Nothobranchius furzeri: one gene and its partner. The protein of the gene in region 2 purifies or fractionates together with the protein of the main gene of each other region. This does not show direct contact. Links are inferred from orthologs where the notes say so. Each region holds a gene or a part of one and is shown on either strand. Other genes may lie near its edges. The genes, in order: pan3 and pan2.

Evidence for each region.
Region 1: the proteins of pan2 (region 2) and pan3 purify together in Homo sapiens (co-immunoprecipitation; 5 studies listed by BioGRID and IntAct, with this or other methods). This does not show direct contact. The link is inferred for Nothobranchius furzeri from reciprocal best matches to the Homo sapiens genes PAN2 and PAN3.

The regions. Positions count from the first base shown.
Region 1 is NC_091747.1:51,122,994-51,127,378, forward strand, and holds the start of pan3 (PAN2-PAN3 deadenylation complex subunit PAN3), read left to right. Parts: upstream 1-1,441; 5' UTR 1,442-1,669; coding exon 1,670-1,988; intron 1,989-4,385. Other genes in the region: receptor-type tyrosine-protein kinase FLT3, read right to left, coding at 595-628. UniProt on the Homo sapiens protein: Regulatory subunit of the poly(A)-nuclease (PAN) deadenylation complex, one of two cytoplasmic mRNA deadenylases involved in general and miRNA-mediated mRNA turnover.
Region 2 is NC_091755.1:54,247,993-54,251,810, reverse strand, and holds part of pan2 (PAN2-PAN3 deadenylation complex catalytic subunit PAN2), read right to left. Parts: intron 2,965-3,818; coding exon 2,868-2,964; intron 2,606-2,867; coding exon 2,486-2,605; intron 2,382-2,485; coding exon 2,262-2,381; intron 2,171-2,261; coding exon 2,042-2,170; intron 1,963-2,041; coding exon 1,763-1,962; intron 1,666-1,762; coding exon 1,517-1,665; intron 1,439-1,516; coding exon 1,332-1,438; intron 1,260-1,331; coding exon 1,161-1,259; intron 1,083-1,160; coding exon 994-1,082; intron 566-993; coding exon 421-565; intron 338-420; coding exon 200-337; intron 128-199; coding exon 68-127; intron 1-67. UniProt on the Homo sapiens protein: Catalytic subunit of the poly(A)-nuclease (PAN) deadenylation complex, one of two cytoplasmic mRNA deadenylases involved in general and miRNA-mediated mRNA turnover.

The DNA of each region.
Region 1 (4,385 bases), on a different chromosome or scaffold from region 2:
AAGCATTATTACGTATTATTATTTTTGTGTTTACTGTGATTTTACATTACATTAATCCTCCTGGTGCTGAAGATTTTTTTTATTTCCTCAGTGTGGGTTCCTACTTTGCTTTCTAGGCAAGAAAAATGGTCACTTAGGATATTTAGAAATTAATTTAAATGTAAGAACAGGTCAAAAGTGTCAGGAATTTACTTTTTTACATTGTTATACAGGATGTTTTTAAGATTAAAAAAAGATTAGTAAATTTTTAATTAATATCCTGCAATGGTTGAAAATATGAATCAGATTTATCTTTAATAATGACATTGTTTTAATCAAATTACCTAATCTGGATTAGATGTTATGGTAATTCCTCACATTTAAACATTACATTTTTCTTAAATTCAACACAGTAGAATACAACTTTAAATCAGATATCTTACATAGTCTTCACAAAAATCTCATAAATTATTAGAAAAGTGAAGAGCACACATTGAGAATATTTTTTAATGTTCAAAAAGTCTGATTCTACAGTCACAATTTCCAATGATTAACTTTTAAAATGCATTTTCAGCTTTCAACGTCATGAAAAGCTGTGTTTAAACACTCACGTACCTGCAGCTAGTGCACATCTGTTTCCCCGCACCATAATGCTTGCACTCTGTGCCTGGTTTCTCAGCGCAAACAGTGAAACTGCAGCGCACTAAGTGTGCGGGGATCTTTTTAAAGAGAGGAAGTCTTAGAAATAGTCACGCCTATTTGCTCAAAACAACCAAAACATTAGCACCATAGAAATAATTTGAGATGGCAAAATGTATTATTATATGTTGCCATGCGATAAATACAGACATGCAAAAGAAGAGGTATTTTTTTGCAGGAAATAGGAAAATAAATATGTTTGCATAATCGCTATAAGTATATGTATGCTTTTTAAAATTTGTCTCAAAACATGCATATGTGAAACATTGTATTTAGAATAAAACATTTAATTAAAGAAATTGTTTTCCTTTGTTCATGTCCTGAGTGAAACCTCGGTGGTTTCCAAAATTCCCAAAGTTTAGGGCCCGCCACTCGACTGCAGATCCTGCAGTGTTAAATGTGTGGTCTAGAGGGATCAAAACTTAATTAAATTAAAGACTTCGATTGCTAAAATCATATAATTTTTATTATTACACAGCACTAAAACATTATTCATAAATGAATAAAGATTAAATAAAAAATACTAATGTTGCCTTCTGTCTCAGTTTATTTATTAATTTACTCATTTATTTATTAGTGACTTCATCAGAAATACTTGGAGTTGCACTTTAAGTTTAAAATTGGGAAGCAGCGCTCTTGAGTTGAGTTTGCGGCAGGTGAATGATGCTGCACTCCACGCAGCATATCCTTGTTAGCTGCTCTGCTATCGACTCATCAGCCTGGCTGAGAGCAGAAAACAACAACAGGCTCCGCTACAGCGTAGGCAGCTGCATGGACGGTGACAACAACCACCAAGATTTCACACATGCGGGCATATTTTCTTAAACCAAAATGTATTTTAGCTTTATAATACGAGTAATATGGGATGTTAAATGTTATCCGTGAGCTGAAGTGATTTATTTAGAGTAGTAAAGTAGCTGGCTTAGCACTTAGCTCTCCGCGGCTCTATGTTCGAGTGCCTTCCGGCAGCAGTGGCGGCAGCAGTGGTGCCATGAACAGTGGACTCCCACCTTCAGCTGCTCCGCTCGGGGGTGTCGGGATACCCAATGTCAAGGTGAAGTTTTGCCGATACTATGCGAAAGACAAAACCTGCTTCTATGGGGATGAGTGTCAGTTTCTGCACGAAGACCCGTGCATGGGCAGCATGCCGCTGCACGGCGGCGGTAGCCCTGTTCCGCTGGCCACGGCGGGGTACTCCCTCGGCGTCACGGCGGTGACGCCTTGCACTGGCGGTGGAGGGACCGGTGTATCCAAGAAGAACGAAACACTGGGGCCTGCGGGCACGTCCCTAGAGGGGCAGCTATTAACCAGTGAGTACACACGGACAGGGCCCCGGACGAGTTAGCTAACTGACTTTTCTTTGAGGCCTTAAGCAGCGGTCTCGTAATTTAGCCCGAGGACTCGCATGGGCCTCTTTACCGCTAAACAGCGTGGTTTACCGTAACATGCCAGAACCAAACCTTATTGTAGGCAGTTAGCCCTTATCTTTCTCTCTGGTTGTTTTGCAAGTTTAATTTAGTTTACATTGAATATTAGCACAATAATAAAGAGCCATGTGTGTGCAGCTCACTCGGAGGCCTGTTTTTGTGTGACAGCTGTGTAGCTATTAGCTTGTCCAGTTAAACAAACAAGCGTCACATTAACAAACGCTTGAGCTAACTTTAGTGTTTATTTTTTCGTCTCAAGATTTCTTACTCCTTTGACTTGTTGTAGCATTAGTTTTAATCTAGTTAAATGCTTATATTTTAATTCCAAGTAGTGCTGCTGTTGTGTTTTTCATGTTTGCTAACGTTAGCGTATCAATGCTAACTGTTTTACAGCATTGTTGTTGCTTTTCGCGTCGTCTTTTGTCGGGGTAAACAAACATTAATAAACACGCATTTACGTTTGACTTAAGTCATTCAAAGCTTTCTAGACACATTCAAACCTAAAACCACCAATAGCAGCGAATATTTATATATTTAAAAAATACAACTTTTTTTTTTTTTTTTTTTACTTAAGGTGCGCTTTATTTTATCACCTTGTGGCAGGATCTGGTGTTGACTTCAGTAAAGTTAGCAAGATATTCACAGATTCGACTTTTGCAACTCAATACCTTCTGAACAGGATAATACTTCAAAACATAAAATACCTCTCTGGACTCGTGGCAAGGTAGTGTATAAGCTACAATCTTAAAAATAAAAAAAACCGTGCTCAGCTCCCGACGAGCTAAATTGTGCTCTATGAGAACACGAACCTGCCGGGACCGTCTGAAAATGGACTAACCAGAAACAGCACCACCCCTGTATGCTGCAGTGTCACCAAATTCATAAAATATAACACTACACACATGTTCTTCATACTACATTGATTATTTTAATCCAGTAACACATAATGTTTATAATTTTTTAATTTTTGAAGATATCAATTTTGACATTTGCTCCATTTTAAAATGTAGTGACACCAAAATCATACACCACATTATCATTCATTCATTCATGATTATCATTGGATGCAGAAAAATGACTTGTCTGCTTTTTGGTTATCTTTTTATAACTTATAATTATCTATATTTCCTACATTGAAAATGTTAGCGATACCAAACTGACGGCAACTAATTGCATTACCTTATCTACGGTCTGCACGTTTTATTTTTATTTTTTTGTACTTCTCTGATTTTGGGTGATTTCTTTCAAAGTAAGAGATTTCAATAGCCCCTACACTGTAAACTCTGTTGACATAACATTTACTTTTGTTTAAAAATACTTCTCAGAATTAAAATTTAAATTTTTTAAAATTTTCTAATTTCAATAGCTCCTACACTTTAAACTCAATTGACACACAATTTTGTAATATGTAGAGGAGCTAAGTATTGACCAGCAGGCATAATTTTGTGTCAAGAGTTCACAGTATAGGAGTTATTTAATTTCTACGTTTTAAAATATCACCAAAAGTCAGAACGAAAAAAAAAGAAGAAAAGTATAGTATTTTCTCTAAAAACATAAAATGTGTAATATGATCAGCATCCAAGTTGTGATTTTCTGTGTGAATTTGGTGTCACTATAGTTTTAAATGGATGAGCTTTTGCAATTTATATTAAAAGTTTCACACTAAATCAAAACTGTATACCTGGATTAAACTAAATAGTTTAGTGTGATCAGCGTGTGTGCAGTGTTGTATTTTGTAAATTTGGTCACGCTGCAGTGTGTAACAATGGACTTTTTACAAAGTTTATCATCTAATGTTTTTGGTGTGATGATTTGCTGATGGTCCCTGAGCGCTCGTTTTGTTCCGTCGGCCCATAGAGATCAATGGTGGCTCAGGAGTTAAGTGCTCGCCCCGTAATCGGAAGGTTGCAGGTTCGAGTTCCACTCAGTCTGTCGCTGTCGTTGTGTCCTTGGGCAAGACACTTAACCCACGTTGCCTGCTGGTGGTGGTCGGAGGGACCGGTGGTGCCTGTGCTCGGCAGCCTCTGTCAGTGCGCCCCAGGGCAGCTGTTGCTACATCGTAGCTCATCCCCACCAGTGTGTGAATGACTGATTGTGTTGTAAAGCGCCTTAGGGGGTTCCAGGACTCTAGATGGCGCTATATCAAATACAGGCCATCTAACGTAACCATCGGGAGCAGAGCGTATTATTTCTTTTTTAAGAAACGAGGTTGTAGCTTGTTCACTACCTTGCCACGATACCAATTCCCCTCTGTTCAGAAGGTATTGAGCCGCAAAAGTT
Region 2 (3,818 bases):
AAACATAAATATAAGAGCTGATCGTTAACATGATGTTAAGCTAACATAACACAGCTAGAATATTTACCTTGTCAATGGGTTCAATGAGGAAATCGTTGAAGAGGTACCACTGCTGGTGTGTGACTCCCTGAAACACAAACATCCTTTAAATGTCGACTTTAACCGCTGAAGATGAAGCTGATGTTTCACTTCCTCTCACCTCTTTCCTTTGGTGGTACGTCTCGCTCACTTTGATGTGTGCAACCAGGTTCCCACCTGTGCGGGCGTCCTGGACGTGGGGCACCGTGACGACCAGATCATAGAGAGAAGCACCTTCTGCTTCTTCAGCAGAGCTCAGCTAGACACCGAGGCGTCGCAACAAGTCAGGATTCATGTGCAAATCTTCACCGTTTCTACAGAAGAGGCTAAATAAAAGCGTACCTCCTCTCCCTCTGAGCAGCTGCTGATCTCCAGACCCTGAGTTTTACTGATGGACATTTTCAGAGTGGCAGGGATCCAGACGTGTCGTAGATCTTCTGCCCGGGTGTCAAAGGTGAAGCCACCCATGCTGCAGATCTCCTCCCCACTGAGTGATGTGAACAGACACCAATGATCTGTGTTAGAGGTCCACCTATCTGGGCTTTTCTATGGCTGACACAGATCTCTGGATATCAGGGCAGGAAATGGCTGAGAACATCTGTGTTCATCATCATCATCATCACAGTGGGTTTATTCCAACTAAATACAGACTGGCTGATTAAAAGCTGGTTGATTGCTCTTCCTCTAATCCATGGATCTGAAATCATCTGTTCATCAAAGCAAAATGAAGTGGAAACTAAACTTCTGCATCTGTTTTAAAGCAAAACAATTTTGTTCCTCTTCTCCTCTCTTTTACAATTATTTTATTAATCATAACGAGGCAAATAAAAACAAGTGTGATAGATGTCATTTAGACCTGGACGGCTCCACCAGGTGTGATGATTCAAATAAAACTCAAACTGACGATGTTCTTACTCTAAGCACCACTCTGTGTTGCTGGGAGGGGGGTCGCTGGATCTCGCTGGCTCCGTGGCCTCCTTCTGCATGGCTTTGTTAAAAGCATACTGGAAAAAGAAAAGGGAAGTCAGGAGATCCGATTTAAATGGAAAGTGTTGCAGTAAAGCAGACAGGTGATATGTTACCTCTGCCTGAACTTTCCAGAATTCCGCCTCTTTGGCGCTGTTTACCTCACAGTTTATGACCAGAACGTCGGGCAGGCACCTGATGTTACGTGTCTGCACCTAGAGAAAAGAATAAAACCATTTAATTCTGCTGCTGGCGGGATGTGGCTGCTGCGGTTACATGAAACGCACCGTAGGCTGGTACTTCTCACAGTTTTCGCACCACGCCTGAGTGCTCTGCTCCAAACAGATGCTTTTCTTCAGGATCTCAGCAAAATCATGTTCCTTAACCGTTTTGTCTAAAGAACCCAAACTAAATATTTATCAATCCAGGCTACGTAAAAGCACATTAAGAGTGAAAAAGCCCCCTAACTCACTCTGAGAGTTGTGTTCTGGATAATGCATGGTGAAGAGCAGCGTGAGAGAGGACCGGACCGTCTCCTTCCCACAGCGACACAGGCTGCTGTTCTCTACCTCACAACCAAACAGCTTCCCGATGATGGACTCACCAGAGGAGCCCAGAGAGCTACCATGAACAGAAGCACACACACACAAGTTTATCTCCGCTATCATCTGCTCAAACAGCTGCAGACTCCATGCTGGCCGACTCCAGCTGTTCTGACCTGCTGCTGGCTCCCCTGTAGGCCTGCGGACCCTCCTGCTCCTGCGTCTCCTGGTGCAGCTGGGTGAGGATGAAGCGATTCCAGCTCTGGATTAGGCGGCCCAGTTTGGCCTTCCCCGTTTGCTCATCCGAGTCAGCGAGGATCAGGCCCAGAGCCGAAGCTTCAGGGATGGTGCGAAAGGCTCGGAGGAAGTTACTGGCCTGAGGGAAGAGATGAGCCAGAGCACAGGGTTGGTGATGTCCTAACACCCCTGCAGAGACGACAGGACCGGGACTTTACCTGACACGGGTTTCCTCGTGACAGATCCAACATGTGGAAGAGGAAGCCGAGCTCGCAGGCCAAACAAAACTCCTTCTGGCACAAATGATTCTGTACAAGATGCCGGATTGGCTCCAGGAAATATAACACCTGATGCACCCAACAGAATAGTCAGAGATCAACAACCTATGTTAGTCCTCTTTCCCACTCGAGCCCAAACAGAACCTCCGGGGTGCTTTACCTGAATCATGCAGTTACAGTAGGCGTTGGGGATATGCGGCTCAAGGCCGGCAAACAGAGTCTTGTTGTAATGTTTGAAGTCAAAGTCCTCCAATCCCAGCTTAGAGTATTTAATGGTGACCTGATGCAGCACAAACACACTCATTAAACCATTACACACACTTACTTTTCTGCCTTAAAAGTAAATGCACCATTGATATTTATCCGTAACAGAGACATCCCCACCTTCCTGTACTTCTTAGGAACCAGGCAGAGATGCGGCTCCTCCTCACGGCCGATCGGAGACTCTGGAACCTGGTTGTAATTATCATAATCCAGCTCCACATCCTTGATCTTATAGGGAACCTGAAACACGCACAGGACACAAGTCAGGAAACTTAAAGTGAAACCACTAAAAGCATTTGACGTAAAAGTTTAGATTTAAAATGCAGCAAAAATTCCTCATTAAAACATTTGTTTGTTTACTGATGCAGCCTTTTGGCTCTTTGCAACTTCAACTAATCAACTAAAACCTCCCCTTTTCTTTCCCTCAGTGGCACCAAGAGCCTAAACACAATCTATTGGTGCATTCACAGGCTTTTCAAAACATGGGAACTTAGACTTCTACCTGGTTTCGGGGGCGTGTGCGAGGATTTGCTGCATAACCGATGAAACCGACAGTTTTCATGGTACGAAGAATTTCTGGGTCCACAGCAGGAGCTCGTCTGTTGTAAGGAAAAACTGAAACTTATCAAACTCAAAGGAAAAAAAAACAAACTATCTAGAGACCCATCAGGGGGTTCTGATAAATGACACCAGTGTCCCTTTCACGTAACTTAAGCATTTATTTAACCAGCTGTAGGGAGAACCTGGACACTTAAAGACATAAACAGGGATGTTTATAGAGCTGTGTTCTCATTTAACACTTTGGACTGTAGTGAAGCAGCAGCATCTTTTATTTCTGTTGATGTTTGTGAACATTTCAGGTTTCCACAGGAATAAACCTGGAACCACTTCATCGGTCTGTCTGGATAGAGAGCTGTAGTGGTTTAAGGTCTACTGGGTTTTGTTGGATAACTTTAAACCAACAATGTGTGTGAGAATAACCAAATATACAAATAAAACAACATGATAAAAGCAACACAACCACAGAGGTGGAGTAAGTTCACCTCTAAGAATTAAGAAGGGACCTTTGCTCCTTCATGTTCGAGGGCTAAAACACAAAAGCTGGACTGATCCTGTGTCACCAACGGGTAATTATTAGGGATGTAAGAAAATATCGATATGGCAATATATCGTGATATTTTTTCCTGCAATTATTACATTGATATTCAAAAGCCGTGAATCTAATTCTTGAAAGAATTTACATGCAAACTTTTGTGTATTTTCTTTTCGTTTTGTGCAATTCAATCGCCACCCGCTAGTTGGCAGCAGTGTGCAACGGGTTTTGTTTCCACCATTGAAATGTAAATCCCTCCATCATGGTTCAGATACCTCATGTTAAACATGTTACGTATCAGTTTGGACTGTTTATTGAACATTCTTACAATAAATTCAGTAAAAATAATTGCTTGTAACG